3 linked regions of the Caenorhabditis elegans genome follow. The protein of the gene in region 3 interacts with the protein of the main gene of each other region in a pairwise test. Each region holds a gene or a part of one and is shown on either strand. Other genes may lie near its edges.

What was found. Proteins that work in one complex are often made in the same cells at the same time.
Region 1: the proteins of attf-4 (region 3) and F21A9.2 interact in a two-hybrid assay, tested with the Caenorhabditis elegans proteins (one large-scale study listed by BioGRID).
Region 2: the proteins of attf-4 (region 3) and nhr-88 interact in a two-hybrid assay, tested with the Caenorhabditis elegans proteins (one large-scale study listed by BioGRID).

What each region holds. Positions count from the first base shown.
Region 1 is NC_003279.8:3,705,521-3,711,357, forward strand, and holds F21A9.2 (C2H2-type domain-containing protein), read right to left. Parts: upstream 3,916-5,837; 5' UTR 3,701-3,915; coding exon 3,659-3,700; intron 3,262-3,658; coding exon 3,160-3,261; intron 2,972-3,159; coding exon 2,857-2,971; intron 2,699-2,856; coding exon 2,588-2,698; intron 2,542-2,587; coding exon 2,354-2,541; intron 2,308-2,353; coding exon 2,162-2,307; intron 1,273-2,161; coding exon 1,011-1,272; intron 838-1,010; coding exon 683-837; intron 635-682; coding exon 577-634; 3' UTR 510-576; downstream 1-509. Other genes in the region: F21A9.1 (PRELI/MSF1 domain-containing protein), read left to right, coding at 5,498-5,548, 5,732-5,837.
Region 2 is NC_003280.10:2,976,537-2,981,424, reverse strand, and holds the start of nhr-88 (Nuclear hormone receptor E75), read right to left. Parts: upstream 3,010-4,888; 5' UTR 3,001-3,009; coding exon 2,936-3,000; intron 2,521-2,935; coding exon 2,423-2,520; intron 2,157-2,422; exon of another isoform or gene 2,082-2,156; intron 2,037-2,081; exon of another isoform or gene 1,983-2,036; intron 1,851-1,982; coding exon 1,396-1,850; intron 670-1,395; coding exon of another isoform or gene 580-669; exon of another isoform or gene 495-579; intron 1-494.
Region 3 is NC_003281.10:6,078,603-6,085,276, reverse strand, and holds attf-4 (AT hook-containing protein attf-4), read right to left. Parts: upstream 4,715-6,674; 5' UTR 4,702-4,714; coding exon 4,603-4,701; intron 3,113-4,602; coding exon 3,008-3,112; intron 2,487-3,007; coding exon 2,054-2,486; intron 2,005-2,053; coding exon 1,795-2,004; intron 1,652-1,794; coding exon 1,067-1,651; intron 1,005-1,066; coding exon 847-1,004; 3' UTR 529-846; downstream 1-528. Other genes in the region: ABC transporter ATP-binding protein/permease wht-1, read left to right, coding at 1-36, 79-208, 403-519.

The DNA of each region.
Region 1 (5,837 bases), on a different chromosome or scaffold from region 3:
TTTCATATTAGATTTGAGTTGCCTGAGAATTGGAGTTTTAAAAAATCGAAAACGAGGTGCAAACGCGTTTCAACACCAAATGAAAACGATCCGCCCCCAAACGTTGGGTCTCATTGGGTATTGGCGGCAAAACCAGAAATTCAAACGTTTTCGAACATTATTCAACTGTTTTGTTCTTTTTCGTGATTTTTATGTGGTATAAAAATATAAAAATATAAAAAAAAACGTATCTGAAATTGAAAAATGAATACGCTCGTTTGATTCGGTTTTATATGTTCTTTTTGACATTAAAAAATAATTTTTTAAAAACAGAAAAAATTACAAAAAAGGTCTAAAAACTCTTGAAACCGGCGAAATCAGCGAAAATAATTTGAATTTCTGGTTTCCGGCCGCCAATTCCTAACGAGACCCGTCGTTTAGGGCGGAGCTTTTCACTTGACTATGAGGCGCGCTATTTTCTGCTGCCCAATAATATCTTTGAAAGTATGTTTCAAATTGGCAACAAAACAATTATTAAAACCCGTTTATTGAGCTGAAAATAAATTGTCTAATTTCTTAAAATATATTTTTATCCATTCATGTTTCATCGGGCTCATTGGCTTTGAATTTCAAAGCTTCATCGTCAGAATGAGATCTGAAACACATCGATTTACTTGATTATTACTTATAAGTTCCCCCAAACCTCATATGCGTACGAATCCCTCGCATACTGAATGCTCGGTAGCCGCACACCAAACATGTGAATGTCTTCGTTGTCTGATGCGATGATCGAATGTGCATAGATAGCTGCGAGGACGATGTCGGCACAAAATCGCATTTTGTACACTTCTCCGGTACCTACAAATCTCCTTTTTTTTCTTTCTTTTTTCGTTCTCAACTCAAGCTTGTGCACAAGCTCTCTTTCACTGGCTCGCCATAATTCAAGATTGCAATCAGAAAGAGGCTCGGAGAGATCACGAAAACTGATAAACTGGGAAATGAAGAAACTGAGAAATAAAAGTGTATCTCACCTTTCTCAAAGAATCATTTCTGTGTGGTCCACCACCTGGAGATGATACACGAGTTGTGTGGCTACAGTACAGTTGCTTATGCGCGTCATACGTGGTCTGAGACGAAAACGAGACTCCACAAGTGCACGAGAATGGTCTTTCCGGGTAGATTGGCTCACTGCTCGAGCTTTTTGAAGTTGGAGAACAACTGGCTGAGAGTGATGGAACACTTGGTGCATGGGGTGATGAGGATAAATCCAGAGGAGTTGAAGTTCTTACATTCCTGAATAGAAAAATAAAATAAAAAAGATTTTCATTTATTACGAGAACACGAAATTCTGAAAATGCGTATTACGCAACATATTTGACGCGCAAAATATCAAAACTACAGTAGTTCTTTAAATGACTATTGTAGCGCTTGTGTCGATTTACGGGATCGTTTTTCGAAATGAATTATTTATCAATAGAATATTAAAAATTAGAAACGAATGGAATATCACTGCCGCTTTTCAAAAATATATGCGAACAAGCCCATAAATAGGCACAAGCGCTACAGTAGTCAATTAAAGTAGTTTTCGCTTCGAGATATTTTCGCGTCAAATTTGTCGCACATTTGTCGCATTCTGAGTTTTGTATTCCCGTTATATAAAGGTTAAAAATGTTCCTTTTGAAATCAAGGTCCGCCCCTAAACGTTGGGTCTCGATAGGTATCGGCGCCAAAACTATCAATTTAAATTATTATGTTTTGTCGCCTGTCGTTTTAATTATTTTTAATTTCAAAAATGATGATATAAAAATGCATTCTTCAAACATCATTTTGACATGAATACATATCATGAAAAACAGCAAAAAAGTCGAAAAATGGTTGAAAACGTTTGGATTTTGCCGTCAATTCCTACCAGGACCACATGGAGTCAGAAAGTCCCATTTCGCTTTGATCTTCAAAAAATGGCGGGAGGAGAGACGCAGACATCTCATCTGATTTTGCATGATTAAGAGCATGCTGACGTCACATTTTTTCCGGAAAAAAATTCCCGCATTTTTTGTAGATCAAAGTGCAATGAGACTGTTTGACACCACGTGCAGGACCCCACATTTCGGGGCGGAGCGTTTTTAATTATCTGTGGAGCGCGCTTGCATAATAAGACTGTGTTGCAAAAGAAAAAACCAACTTCTCATCCAAATTGATAATAGGAATCTGCACGGAGAGTTTCGAAGTTGAAAAGTTTGGCATTTCCAATTTTCTCTTGTTATGAATGAGCAAAGGATTTGAGTTGATTAATGCCGAATTTCGTCCAATAGTAACAGGACCCACTACCTAAAAGTTCAATTGAAATTAACAACTAGCTTTCAAACTGAGTTACCTGAAAGGGATTCTGCTGAAAGAGGTCATGAAACGCCATTGGCAACAAAATAACATTTTGTTGTTTTCGAGAATCCGCATTTTCAACTACATTTCCGAGTTTCTTCTTACTACAGTACAAATCTTCATGAACTTTCAAATTGTGAAGGGAGTTGAATTTTGCCACGTGACAGTGTGGACATTCGTGTTCTGAAATTTCGAAATGCAGTTCTTTTCGAAAAGCAAAAAAGCTCACTTTTCTCCAACTTTTCTTGCTCCAGACGATAGTTCATATCAGCGACAAGAATGGCTCGAAGTGGCTCCACGGTCGTCAGATTTTTTGTGAAAAGAATTGTGAACACGGGACCTGAAACATTGGCCTAGGTGAAGTTGAAATTTCAAAAAAGTCGTTTGGTGGACTAATTAGTGAAAGCTAGGCAGGACATGAATTGTCTTTGAGTGCAAAAATATCCGTTTGGGTGGCCTAGTTTTCAATTTCTAGGCCATGTCGTGTGGCTCGCATACCTGTCTGCATAATGACACAATTAGCTAGAAGTGGACCTTGGGCTGCTTGAATTCTCCGCGTCACTGGATTCGATTCCATCTCGAAACCCATCGATTCACCGGTGAAGTTGGAGAGCTGGAAATTAAGGAGGTTCTACGGTGCATTTGTGCGGGGAATATGGTGTATTGTGTCTGTCGAATCAGAAGAATTCAATGCGCCAAAAGTTACGCGCAAATTTGAGAACCCACCGGTAGTCAGAATCCAGTTTTGATCTACAGATATTGCGCCAACTTCTATAACTTACAGTATATGCTTTAACTTACAGTAATCCTCAACAGTTGTCCATTGCCGCTCACAGAATACGGTCCAACACAATCGCCACATCTAAACTCGATTGGTGCGGTCATAACTTGTTTTCGTATTGACTGCAAACTTTTGATGATAATTCAGTCCTCAATATTCAACAAAAAAAGTTTTACGCGATGTGTAAATTTAATTTTCTAATTTTTTTTGCGTTATTTTTGTAATTTTGAATTTATATTTATCATCATTTCCCTATTCATTAATCAATATTTTTGTTTGTCAAATGTAGCGTTTTGGGTCTCGCAACGCTTAATTCTTTTGAGTTTACTGTACTGTAATTTCACCTTTCATAAGAAAACCGATAATAAAAATAAGAACAAATCAAATTTCAACAAGTTGTCAGAAAAAGGTGCAAGATAACATTACTTATTAGAAGAGCACACCTTTTTGCATTTCACAAAAATTTGTAGTGTCGAGACCGGGTTTGAAGCAAAAATCAAAAAATCTACTGTAACTCACGCTAGCTATTGTATTATGCAGAATCGATTGGTTTACATCCATTGTATATAAATGAAGTGGCCGAATGAGAAAACGAAAGAAGAGGCTTCCGACGAAGAAAGATGGGCTCGAGTGAGCGATAAGATCTCAGGGACAACGCGGGGCGCAGAGCAAGTTGTGCGTGCTCCGGCACTCCGAGTCACACAGATTTTGATGATAAGGTGAAGAAGAAGAAGACAAAAGGAAGATTGGGAAGAGCAGATGAAGTGACTGAACAACTGAAATAGATTGAATCTCCGGTTGGAATGAATATTAGATTAGTAGAGATTTGAGAGGAAAAGTTGAGTAGTGAACATTGCGCGTGAAATGTGATGCATTGAGTTGGCAGGTGCTTTAAGAGCAAAATATGAAATTTTAATAGAGAAAATCTAATGTTTTAAACTTCTGAATATTGCTTTGTTTTTGAAATTAATTATTTATGAGAATCTCCAAAGTACTGTCAGATTGAAGCCTTTTACCTTAGTGCATAATTTGAGCTACGGTAATTATTTTTTTGCGTATTAAATGTGCTTACACTTCAACAGTTTAAAGGTACATAGATGTTTCTAGAATATTTTCATAGATGGCTGATTCAAAATTAAAAGCTCTATATAGTAAAGTAATATTATAACATTGACTTTTGCCTACCGAATATCTCAATTATCGCCGTCTTCCTTACTGATCATTATCTACCCCAATTTTTATCTTTAATCAGTTACCACAATCTCTTATCATCTGTGATTCAGTTTAACTATACATGTAGGGATGTTCCCAGTTGTCGACTGTAGACATTTCACTAGGTTGAGGCGTGACGGGGGCGCCTCTCTCTCTCTCTCTCTCTCTCTCTCTCTCTCTCTCTCTCTTCGCCCTTCTCGCGCCCTATCCGTGCAATTCACTTATATACACGCTATAGCTATACAGCGAACTTTATTTTCTTCTTCTACGGTTTCAAAGGCGCACGTATTTATGCGAAATGGTCTCACCACGCGTTACTCATTAATGTTTTTTTTTTTCAATCAATGGGTTGCGCGTAGCGAGGCCATTCCGCTTAAATACGCGTTTATTTTTTTATCAATATAATATCAATTGGAATTATTTTAAATGAAAGAGAAAAAACCCCAAAGCAGAGTTCAAAAGATGTTCGTGCACGATCGTGTAGCAGCAAATCGGCGGCCGAGTTTTTTCTTTCATTTCCGCGGCCGCACAATAATCATGACGGTTTTACTGCATGACCAAGAGAGAGAGAGAGAGAGAGAGAGAGAGAGAAAATCTCGGCCATCAAGGTTTTCATGCAAAATTCAAGTTATCGACAGTTTCCGAAACGCAAAAACATGTGCCAATTTTTTCTCAGAAAAAAACTCACGAAAAATCAGGATAGTGCATACTATAAAAAATAAAATACTGAAAGTATGTATTCTCACAGTTCTCTCTAAAAGCCGCCACGTGGCAATGTCAAAAATTCAAAAGTGCCACCGGTTTTTTTCGAATTAAAACTCAAAAAAGTGATAAAAATGTATTATTACTGATGAAAATGTGAGGAAGAGGAAAAAGAAAGTGAGCCTGTGTGATATTATCATATCAGTTGAATTGAATCAGTGGAGTATGTGCTGATAGGGTTTCTTATCAGTTTCAACTAAAAAAACTAAACGACACCGATTGATTGCAAAACATCAGCTGATTGCAGATGTATGACGTGGCAGGAGGCACTGAAAAGCAAAAAAAGGTTCAGGAAATGTAGGAAAAAGGAAAAGCGGTGATAAAACTATAAAATATGAGGTAACCGGAAACGGGACAGAAGGATTGTTCAGAGAGGGTTCTACAATGCATCTTTTCACCGAATTCCTACTATTTTTTGGGTTTTTCTTAAAAATCGTAAGTTAGGAAAGATTCTGTGTTAATTTTTTTCTTGTTAATCTTAAGGTAGATCCAGAAAAACTGGACAACATTTTTTTGGTGTTCATTACAGTACCCAAGAGCATTTTTTATTCCTCATAATCAGAAAGACACTTTGAATTTTTTTAAAAATGAACTCCAAAAAATATAGAAACCTTCCAGGAATCAGCACTAGAAAGCAGTTTTCCACTAAAAGTCCTTCCGTTGAAATTCGGGGAAAATCCAAAAAATCATGAAAGAGTGTACTACTCCGAGGAGAGTGTGATCA
Region 2 (4,888 bases), on a different chromosome or scaffold from region 3:
CTCACTTTACTCCAATTCGTTCCCATATTGTTCTTAGCAAATTCCAATCGCTTGAGTTTATGGTCTGCAGAGAGTAACGGAGCAGGGCGAAGTTTCTGACGAACGATTACACCAGATCGTTTGATGACATTGAGGATGGTCCTTTTTGAAGCAGACAATTGAAGCTCATTGCGAATATCTCTTGCCGTCTTACAGGAGTTGGAGGCAGCACGAATCACATTTCGTTCGTCACGCACGGAGAGAGCTTTGCGACGAGGAGCTCTTTTAGATGTACCGTAGCTCACCGGATCCTTCAGATACACGCGAATACAGTGTCGAGAACGGGAAATTTTCCTACTCATTTCATGCAGGGACACATTGAGCAATTTCATAACATCCAGCTGAGCGCGTTCAGTGTCCGAAAGGGCAGATCCTCGAGGCATTGCAAGTTAGACTGCTTTCGAAGTAAGCTTTCCAGCCTCTATATGTGTGCCACAACACATGCCACAATTCCACATTTAATAATTCACGCAAAAAATAGTAAATAACATCTGTGAGGGACAATTTAACTTGAAATATTGGTCCCATGGAACCTTGTAATCAAAGAAAAACGATTTGATTCCTGATAAGCCTTCCATTGTTTCCTGCTGCATATTTTGCCAAATCAGCTTGACTACACAGTCGAAACATCTAAAGTGCGTGCTAGGAATTTTAGTAGGAACTTGTTAAAGAGAGTTTATCAAGTTTTGGCATTACCGAGAGCACCAGGAAGCTTGAAACAGACTTGAACATCAAAGATCGGAAGAATCAGAACCAGTCTGGAGATCCCACGAGAACATTTCGTATTAATTTTTTAAAGTCAAAACTGCTTATCTGAACTCATTTCTAACTCAAACTTGATTTGAGCTTTGTCAAAAATTCCAAAATCTGTTGATTTTAGTAAAAATCGTGAAAAAAAACGGGGGGTCCTATAGAAGTTTCACACTGGATTTTGACGTTTTTTCCAGCGCGACCTCAGTTTTTGAGATAAACTTCTGGAAAAAAATGTATATAGGTTTTTTTCAATTTAAAAACGAATGGCATTAGCAGTTTTTCAAAAAAATTTTCGGAAGTTCCTCAAACCTTCAAATTAGGGGGGGGTCCTATAGAACTTTCCCACACTGTATTTCAAATTTCTAGAAGCAGCCGACATTTGCCTGGTTTCTAGAAACAGCCGACATTCGCCGGGCTTCTAGAAGCAGCCGACATTTGCTTAGTTTCTAGAAGCAGCCGACATTTGCTTAGTTTCTAGAAGCAGCCGACATTTGCCGGGCTTCTAGAAGCAGCCGACATTTCCCTTGTTTCTAGAAACGGCCGACACATCACGGGTTACTGGAAGCTCCCTTCAAGTTTACCTAGGAGCAGCCGACAACTCACCGGAAAGCTCTCCTGATTTCTGACATATTGACTATGGAACAAAGTGGACACATCGAAATCCGGGTCATTCTTCATCATCATTGATATTCCAATAGGCATTGTGATATGATTATTCCCGCAAGTCGCCTGATCTTCAACATCCAATAAAAATGACAAAATAACATCTTCATTATTGGAAACTGGAGAATCGCAGCCATTCGGTGAGGGTAGGGATGCATCGATGCTTCCACTATTCGTGTCGGACTTCATCTTCTTCTTCCGTGGATTCTTCTGCTTGCCGATGACGTCACGATCCGGTCGAATGGCTTCTGGCTCCATGCCAACTGTCAGGCAACGCTGGAACCGGCAGTAACGGCATGCGTTGCGTTGATCCTTGTCGATGGCGCATTTTTGGGTGAATCGGCAGGTGTAGGTCTGTTGGGATCGGATTGTTCGGCGGAAGAAGCCCTTACAACCTGAAATTTTAGAAATTTGAGCGATATCTCAAAAATTGAATCTTGAAAAAGTTGTGTAAACTATTGAAATATTCCAGTCGAAAACATGAATAAGTCATAAATTGCATGATTTTTGATAGCTCAAAGTTTAAGCTCAGGCTTAGGCTTAGGCTTAAGCCTAAGCTTAGGCTCAGGCGTAGGCTTAGGATTTGGCTCAAAGCTAGGATTAGGCTTAGGCTTAGGCTTAGTCTTATGCTTAGGCTTAGGCTTAGGCTTAGGCTCAGGCCTAGGTTTAAGCTTAGGCTTCGGCTTAGGATTAGGCCTAGGGTCATAAACTCAAGACCTTAGGCTTAGGCTTAGGCTCAAAGCTAGGATCAAGCTTAGGCTTAGGCTTAGTCTTATGCTTAGGCTTAGGCTTAGGCTTAGGCTCAGGCCTAGGATTAAGCTTAGGCTTATGCTTAGGTTTAGGCTTAGGGCCATAAACTTCAGACCATAGGGTTAGGCTTAGGCTTAGGATTAGGCTTGGGCTTGGGCTTTGGCTTAGCACCTTAGGCTTAGGCTTAGGCCTAAATTGGAAAAAAAGAAAAACTCACCATAACAAGCCATTACTCCATAGTGTTTTCCAGCCGACCTGTCTCCACACACCATACACTGCCCATCACCATTATCCATTCCTGGCATGACCTGTTGACTGAAATTTTTTTAAAGTTTTTGGGGGTTTTGTATCTCAATTGTAATCTGTGAGTACTGTAGCTAGGTACCATACGGGTACTGTAGTTGGATTAGGGGTACTGTAACTTGACACCATATGGATACTGTAACTCTACTTAGTTCCTTTATGATTACTGTAGCTAGGAACCATTTGTGTACTGTAGCTATGAACTATATGGGTGCTGTACATCAGCCCATATGGTTACTGTAACTACTGTTGCTATGTACAACATGTGTATTGTAGCTATGATCTATTTGGGTACTGTAGCTAGACCCCATAGGGGTACCAAAACTAGACTATAGGTACTGTAGTTAGGTACCATATGGGCACTGTAGTTGATTCAGGGGTACTGTAGGTGATAGACTATGAATACCGTAGGGTACTGTACACTCACCCATCATCCTCGTCTGTTCCAGAACCATGATGTCCATAGGTATAAACCGTCGAAGGAGCAAACATATAGAGATGCTGCAAAAAAAAGAAGATGAGATTTTATATTATATTTTTAGTCGGAGCAATAAGTAAAAAATGAGAAAATAAAAATCTTTGATGCTTTGAAAGGAAGGGAGAAGCGTGACGGATATGAGGGGGAGGGGATAGAAAAAAGAGCAAAATGAGCAGAATATTTTTGAGTAAAACTTGAGAAAAAAAGAGGGAAAACAGCTCTAAAGCCTAAGCCTAAGCCTAAGTCTAAGTCTAAGCTCAAGAATAAGCCTAAGCCTGAGCTTAACCCTAAGCCTAAGCCTCAGCCAAAGCCGATTACTAAACTTTGGTCTATGCCTAAGCCTAAACCTAAGCCTAAGGCTAAATATAAACCTAAGCCTAAGCCTAAGCCTAAGCCTAACCCTAAGCCTGAAACTAGGCCTAGGCCTAAGACAACCACGCAAAGAAAACCAACCGGACAAAACTGAAAAGTAAGTGTCCAATTTTGGCCTGACCCCCAATTTCTCAACAAAATTTCCCGCCAAATCAATTTTTAGGAACCAGTTTTCTCTTTTAAGATGATGTTTTCTGTTTCTTTTCGTTTTTTTTTTTGAGAGAGAGTAACCGGGGAAAGTTTTAGGGGGCAGAAAGGGAGAAAGATTGGAAAAGAAAATTGGGGAAATTTCGTTCGACCGGTTTTCTGAATTTTCTGGTAGAAGTTGGATGGGGGAATTTTGTGGGAATTTTTCGGGGGAAATTGAAAATTTTCAGATATTTTAGAGTAATTTTGAAAATTGTCGGACTGTAGGAATTTTTCCGAATTTTTAGAGCTTTTTCCAAAAAAATTTTCAGACTTTTTTTTGAAATTTTTTAAATGGAAATTGACACCAAAAATTGCTCTTCGGCTAAAGACACTTAGATATCCTAATTTTTAAAGGTACATAAACTATCACTTTTAAAATTGCGGAAAAAAAAGTTTTTTTTCGAAAAAAAACAACTATCTGAACAAACAAAAAGTTCTAGATTTTCCGTCGATCTCAAATTACCAACGTTTTTTTTCTTTTTTTCTCGTCATGAATTCTCAAACTAGAAACAACTTTGTTCTGTTTTGAAAAAAATTAGAAAATTGGTAATTTTTAATCTCAAAAATTTGAAAAAAAAATCGGGAAAAATTAAAAAATAATTTTTTAAATAGATTTTTACAGGAAATGTATGGTTTTTTTTGAAAATTATAGATATTTTAGAAACATATAAAGTTTAAAGAGAAATCAAAAAAAACCTCCCAAAAATTAGGAAAGTTTTTGAAAAAAAAACAATTTTTGGCAATTTTTTTTCAAAAAATCGAACAATTCCAAAACTTCCCCAAAATCAAAATTTTCCAAATTTTCCAAATTCCATACTAAAATCATGCTCAGGGATCCATAAAATGTTGCATTTTCTTTTCCTGTCTCCCCCAAAAAAATGTGGAGGTGAGCTCTCTTTTTCTCCGGAGAGCCAGCGGAGAGGAAATTTTTTTCTCTCCATTTTTTTCTAGCGTCTCGTGCGTGTTTGTGTGTATGTATGTGTATGTTTAGAACGGAAACATGCATTACATTTCGAAACCTTCTCCCTTTTAGTGCTCGAGCCCCCAGAAGCTGAGAAGGGGGGCAAAAAGGTGGAAAGAATTTGTGGAGAAAAGGAGAAAAAGGAGAAAAATGTGAAGGGAAAAAAAGAAGAAAAAAACGGAGAAAAGTAACAAACTTGTGTGGTGGTGGTGGCAGAAAATGAGGGCGACACGACGAGGACAGCGTGGCGTGTGGAGGGAGAAAAGTGGGCGGAGCCTCTGGAAGGTTAAGCTCATTTTGTAGAGAAAATTACAATGAGAAGATGACCTAATTTTTAAGAAAATCTGATAAAAAATGAAAGTTCCAAGTTTGAGAAAAAA
Region 3 (6,674 bases):
TTACTTTAAATGGCTCTCTTCGCTCTCTTATTTCAAGTAAACATGATGATTTGTGTTATATAATAACAAATCTTTTAGATACGGTTATGAAGCTCTCGCGATCAATGAATGGGATTCGATCAAAGTGATTCCGGAGTGTTTCAATAGTTCAATGACTGCGTTTGCGTTGGATAGCTGCCCAAAAAATGGGCATCAAGTTTTGGAATCGGTTAGTGTTTTGGATTATTAGAAATTAATTTAGGAACATTTAAAAAATCTGTTTCTCAGTGTTGGATTACTTAACCAAACTAAATCGTAGACTTTTTGGTGTTTATTTTCTGAACATCGAATAATGCTCAAAAGAAGTTTTTCACAACGAGGTGGAACTTTCATTGTTCAAGCTTTTATGGTTTAAAATTACAGATCGATTTCTCGGCTTCGCATAAAATTTTTGATATTTCAATTCTGTTTGGAATGTTCATCGGAATTCGCATAATTGCCTACGTGGCACTTCTCATCCGTTCCTATAATAATACTTGAAAAGGAAATATTTGATTGTATAATTTATTTGAATACTGTTAATTTGAATTTTGTTAACATATTTTGTTTTGTGAATGTTGATGCCGGAAAATTGGAAAATTGGAAAATCAAAAAAAAAAGCAAGTATAAAACATGTTGAAAGTGATGCCTATGTGTAGAAAATGATACATATAGGAAGAGGTGATGACAGGGAAAAAGTAGAAGTAATTGACAATAAGAATATATCGAAAAATACCCATAAAATCGGGTGGTCTGTTTTGAGATGAATGGAGGTTCAGTAGTAAAATGTTACAACAAGAAAATAAAACAAAAAAATGTTTTTAAAAATTATGCGTTCGGAGCAAAAAGAGCAGCCATGGATGGACCTGCTGCACCAATTTCACCGTCAATCAGTCCCGAGTTGTTGTCGTTTAGTTCGGCAAGGAAGTTGTTGAGGAATGGAAGATTGAGCTCTTTGATATTTATTATTTCGGGCATCGTGGAGGCTGAAAATTATAATTTTAGAGAAGGTTCAAGTGAAGTTGGACTAGAACCCGTGACAACTCACCTTCTTGTTTCACATTTAAATTTTCCTCATTCTGATGTCCATTTTTCGACTCTTGCTTCACTGTCTTCGTGGCTGTCGATGTCGTGGCAGTTGATGAAGAAGATGCTGGTGGAGATCCACCTTCCAATTGTTGATTCACCATCATCATATGCTGCGAAAAGATGTTCTGAGCCATCATATCAGCCATAAAATTGCCACCAGCCGGTATATTTGTCAAGTTTCGTCCCATATTCGACAGTGTTCCGGCTGGAAGTCCTAGCTCGATTTCCCGCTGTCGTTCCCCAATTCTCGACACCAACTTCATCGCCCAGGTGAGCTTCAGCTTTACATGACCTCCATGCTCTTCGAGAAGGCCTGGAGCTCTTTCGAGTATGTATTGACGAGCCATATGCAGGGCCTGAGATGCGGTGAAGTGGCCACCATGTGGATCTGAGTTCTTCAGGGAAACCATGTAGTCAACGAGATCAGCATCAAGTTCATCTCCGATAAGCTTTGGACGTCCGCGACCACGTCCACGTAAGAATCCAGGAGAACCTGTCGAGTGAGCAGCGTTTTGTGCATTCAGTTTGAGCATATCGACCATAGCTGAAAAATTAAAAATTAATTTGTTTTGCATTGATAAAAAATATAATTCAAGTACTGCTCTAATTACTTAAAGTTAGATTTCCTTCCCTTTAGCATAATTGAAATTGGCAAAAATTTAAGAAAAAACATGCGGATCTACTTACATTGAGTGAACAAGTTGGCTCCTGGAGTTGTTGGTGTAGCTGGTACGGTACTAGAATGCATGTGAGCCACCTCATTTGGAGCCTCAAGATGATCATCACCACTTCCTTCCGAGGAGGGTCCTGGTGAAGCTGTTGAAGTGTTGGCTGATACTGCATTGGAATTTGTAATCAGATTTGGGATGGACGACAATGGAGTTGGCGGGACCAAAGCTGAAAATTAGAGTTTCTAGATTGCGCTGTGGTTGTATAGTGAACTTACGATTCGAGCTCTCCTTTCTCTGATAATATGAAGCAACTGGTGGTGGGAATCCAACTTTCCGGCTCTGCTTTCTCGCTGGTTCTGAGAGTCTTTCGGTATGAATCTTGCCTCCACCTCCACCATTCGCCATCTGATAGCCTTGTCCAAGCTTCAGAGGCTTCAGTTCAATAGGTTTTGGATTTTCAGAGGTCTTATTTGCTGATGGTAGAAAAGATGATCCGTTCTGTTGATCCTTGTGAACAACTTGTGATGGCAACTTGTTCATTTTCGAGAGATCGAGGAGAGTCTTGAGTTGCTGATCAGAAGCATTAGGGAATAGCTGCGAGAGCACTGATGTATCATTCTTCTGCTCTTCAGCTCCAGGTTGGTTGACTTTGGAGCATGTTGTACACTTGCATTGTGGAGCATGAAGATGGTTCATGATAGAGGATAGCTGGAAACATACAGTTCAATGGGTCCATGTATATTTTAAATTTCATAACACCACGATAAAATTATATTTTTTTTCCATTTTTCCGCGTCAATAAATGTTGACATTTAATTTATTTTTGGATCATTCTACTATTTCCTCCCACAAAACACACTATTTGACGATCGCTGTCTTCACTTCTTCTTCTTCAATCTGCTTCCTCTGTCCGGTATGTATACGATGCGTGAGCCCCGAGACAGGGCGACAGAGGGAAAGAGAGATGGTCAAATGTAAACTTTGTGAATGAAAATGAAAATGAATTCCACGGGTGAAAAATCGAAAAAAATAGTATGTGTGACGGACGGTAAGCCTATTGTTGTGTCTAGTCGAGTTTTTTTTTGGAAATTTTCAAAATAAATACTAGACACCTATGACTTGTTGCATTACACATTGCACTTGTCGAAATTGTTGTGCAAATATATTTTTCTACTTCTTTCATTCTCGATTTAGAAAATAAAATAATTTATTAATAGTTTTTCACTCACCTGATGCTGAATGAATACAAAATTTGTCTCGAGCTTGCTGACACGATCCACTAAGTTCAGATCTTCATCCTCGTCCTTCTGATTCACATCGTCTTCCATGATCTCCTACAAATATTTCAGAATTAGAGAAGAGCTTAAGCTTGATCAATAAGAATTGCAAAAACTCATGTATCAGATATATTTATATTCGAGCAATTCGTGCAGCAACCTAACAAATACCAAATAAATTTAGAAAATTGGTCACAAATTCACTCAAATTGAGGGTTGTATGTATGTGGTGGCTGGGTGCTGCTGTGACAGGAGAGGGAGCGGGCTGCTGGCTCAACCACCACCTCGCCTTCCCCCCTGTCCGTTTTCCTTCTCAAAATAAATAAAAAAATATATAAATATTTGATTGAAAAAAAATGGAAAAGAAATAGTGCGGTTTTAGAAGAGCGCCATAAAAAATACGGAAAATCGAAAGAAATTGGGTTTTTTATGTTTGTAGGAAAAATGAATGATTTGAGAGCACAAATTGAAAGAAGGGGAGGAGGAAAAGTTCGCTTTTTCAACAAAAAAAACAGTCTGTTTGTTTGTTCGCGCACTTTTACGGAATTGTCGTGTGCTCCGCGAGCATCTAACAATCATCATTAAATTGAAATTTTCTGTTAATTCCTATCATTATCAAAGAAAAAGAAGAAGAATTTTTTTCATCTATAATTTTTCAATAATTTTAACGATTCCGATAACTGATAATATTTTCGCTACGTTTTATTTTCTATCGTGTAATGTGTAGATAATAAAATAATAAAATTCTTGTGGGGACAACGCAAAAAAAAACCAAAAGAAAATTGTGCTCTTTTTTTTATTTTGAAAAGGTTTTGTTAAACAGAAAAAAGGGAGAGAAAGAGCGGGAAAACAAAATATGTGTGGTTCCGAGTCCCACAGAGTCCCACAGCGGCAAATTTTATTTCAAAGTGAGCATAAAGGCAAAACTAAACCTTTTCCAAAAGCACTTCTAAATATGGAAAACGAAAAAAAATGTTTCATAAATTTTATATCGAAAAAAAAAGTTGTTTGCCTTCTGAATTAGCACATTTTCATCGCTCTCACTCTCACCTCAATTTTTTCAATACATATCGAAAAATATGTCTATTTCTCTTACATTTAACGAGCGAGGCAAAAATGTTGAAAAAAATGAAATTGCGAGTTTCTTCGAAATAAATAAAAAATCATCTTGAGATGTTTGAGGCAAAAAATAAACGAGAGAGAAATTGTGAAAATGAATGAGGGAGGCGGGCAAAACGAGTGCGAAAACAAGAGAAAAGATTGAGAAATGTGTAATATATGTATTTGCGTTACATCTTTGAAACTGCGAAATTTTTTTAGAACACAATTTTTTTGTTGTTAAAGTCTAGAAATTTTAGAGGTCGCCCATGTAGGTTTTCAGACATTCAAAAATTTTGAACCTCTCTCCAAGCTTAATGTATAGTTTTTAAATATGTAAGACATGGGAACAAGTTTGAAAAAAGACATACAGTAAAATTTTTTTATATGTCTTGTAATTTTTTATAGTGTTCTTTTTTCACATCAAAACGATGAAAATCCAAACTCACGTCAATGTTGGAAGGAGAAGCTGAACTACGATCTGTACTGACGGATCCTCTGAACTCTTCACCATTCGCATTCGGCGTTAAAGTTGGCGGTTGGAGCATCATCTGAGTTGATCTGAAATATTAAGTATAACATATTGATAATGCGTTTAAAAAATGAAATTAAATTTCGAGAAAGCGAAGAAGAATGATAAGAAATGTGAAAAAGTGAGGGAAAAAGTTTTCAACAAAAAAAATTTGTTTGAAAAAGTCATCAAAAATATTAAATTCTGCTCTCTCACTTGTCCCTCTCTTTCTATTTTCCCGTTTCACCCCAAAACATATATTTTTGATAAGATGTATTGCAAAACTCGAAAATAGTACTCGAATACGGGAGACACTTCTCTGAATCACATAAAAAATGCGAAATTCTTTTTTTATTTTTGTGGCTGGTAGTGGATGACGAGGACACCAGAAAGAGAGGGAGAGAGATACTTGAATTGCTGATTTCGCATTTTACAAATTTTTAAATTTTATTTTATTTTTCCGGTTGCGCAGTAAATAACAATTTAATTTCACATAAATTGTTTTCTAGGTGGGTTTTGCAGAAAAAGAGAGAGGGAAAGAGAAAATAATGAAAATTTTAGAAAAAATTTTAATTAAATTTGTGTAACAAAATAGGCGAGAATTGGGGAAGGCGTAATCGGGGGGAAAAGTTTTTTTTTTGAAAAATAAAGTTTCAAGGCGCACGCGCTGAAAATTTTAACTGGCCACGATTAACATAAAACGAATTTATAGACCTCCCACGGAGTGTGAAAAATGTAATTTTCTGCCAAAAATGTCAGAATCATATTGTATTCTGAAGACTAAACGAATTTTGAAATAAAATTTTCGAAAAGGCGTTTAAAAAAGGCGCGTCAAAATGTAGCTTTCAAAGTGACTACCCCAGAAGCCAAAAGTTCGTTATAAATTCAGAATATTAAAATATTTTTTGCCAATTTTTAGTTAGTTATAAATTTCCTAACTGGAATTGCAAAGAGAGTGCAGAGTCTAGCTTCTCAGCACCCTATTGAGCGAGAGCTTTTCGTTTCTTTGCTACCTCTGTTGGAAGTGTGGAGAGTCTTTAAATTATCATAACTTTGTGATGCTAGAAAAAAGTTATCAACTGACAAAATGCTGGAAAATATCAGCTGGCTTTTCAGTTGAATATTTTCCAGAAAATATTTTTGTTTGTAGATAATTGAATTTGAAATATTGCATGAAAAAAACAGTACCTTAAAAACCATGAAAATCCCAATTTTTAGGGTTGACAACTGGCCATAGCGAAAAATCTACAATTTAGAAATGTTCACTCAAAAGTCCCAAAAGAGTCGCCAACGTGACCATGAGTTGACCCTTCCCTAGTCAAAATCTCATTATACCGGTGGAAGGCAGATGTTGGTTGCACACATAGCACATTAGAATAAAATAAAACATGGAGTAAAACGAAATGTCCATCACCACTGTCCACCATCAAAAAACCAAAAAAAACGGAACAAAGGATGGTGTCTGTTTGGGTGTTGGGAGTAGAGGGGTCAAATGAAGAGAAAGAGAGAGCAGGTGGCGTTTTGTAAACGAGAGTTAGAGAGGAATAGAGAAATAGAGATAAAGAGGGCACCAAATGACACATTTTATTATTCTTAAAGGACGATGTCAAACCCGCCCATCGCCTGCCACCAACGGGCAAAATGGAAGAGAGGTTATGGAAAGCACAGAGGAAAGAGAGATAGGATTAAATTTTATTGTATGTTACAATATTGGAGTGGGAGAAAGAACATTTGAATTTGGAATTTTACTTTTTGGAAAATGGAAAATTTATAATTCTCAATTAAATTCGCCTATCAAGTCAACCGGGGTATATAGAGCTAAAAATAGGAAGAGAAAGAATGTTGCCACACGTAGTGGTCTAGAAATACTAGAACTCGGCAGCTCTTTTAAAAATAAAGATCTTGCATCCAGAAAACTGTAGATAAGGTTTGCTGAAAAAAATTAATTAGTTCCCGAAGTTTAGGTTTTTATATCATGTAGCAAAAAAGGATGCTCTGATCCTGGCCTAC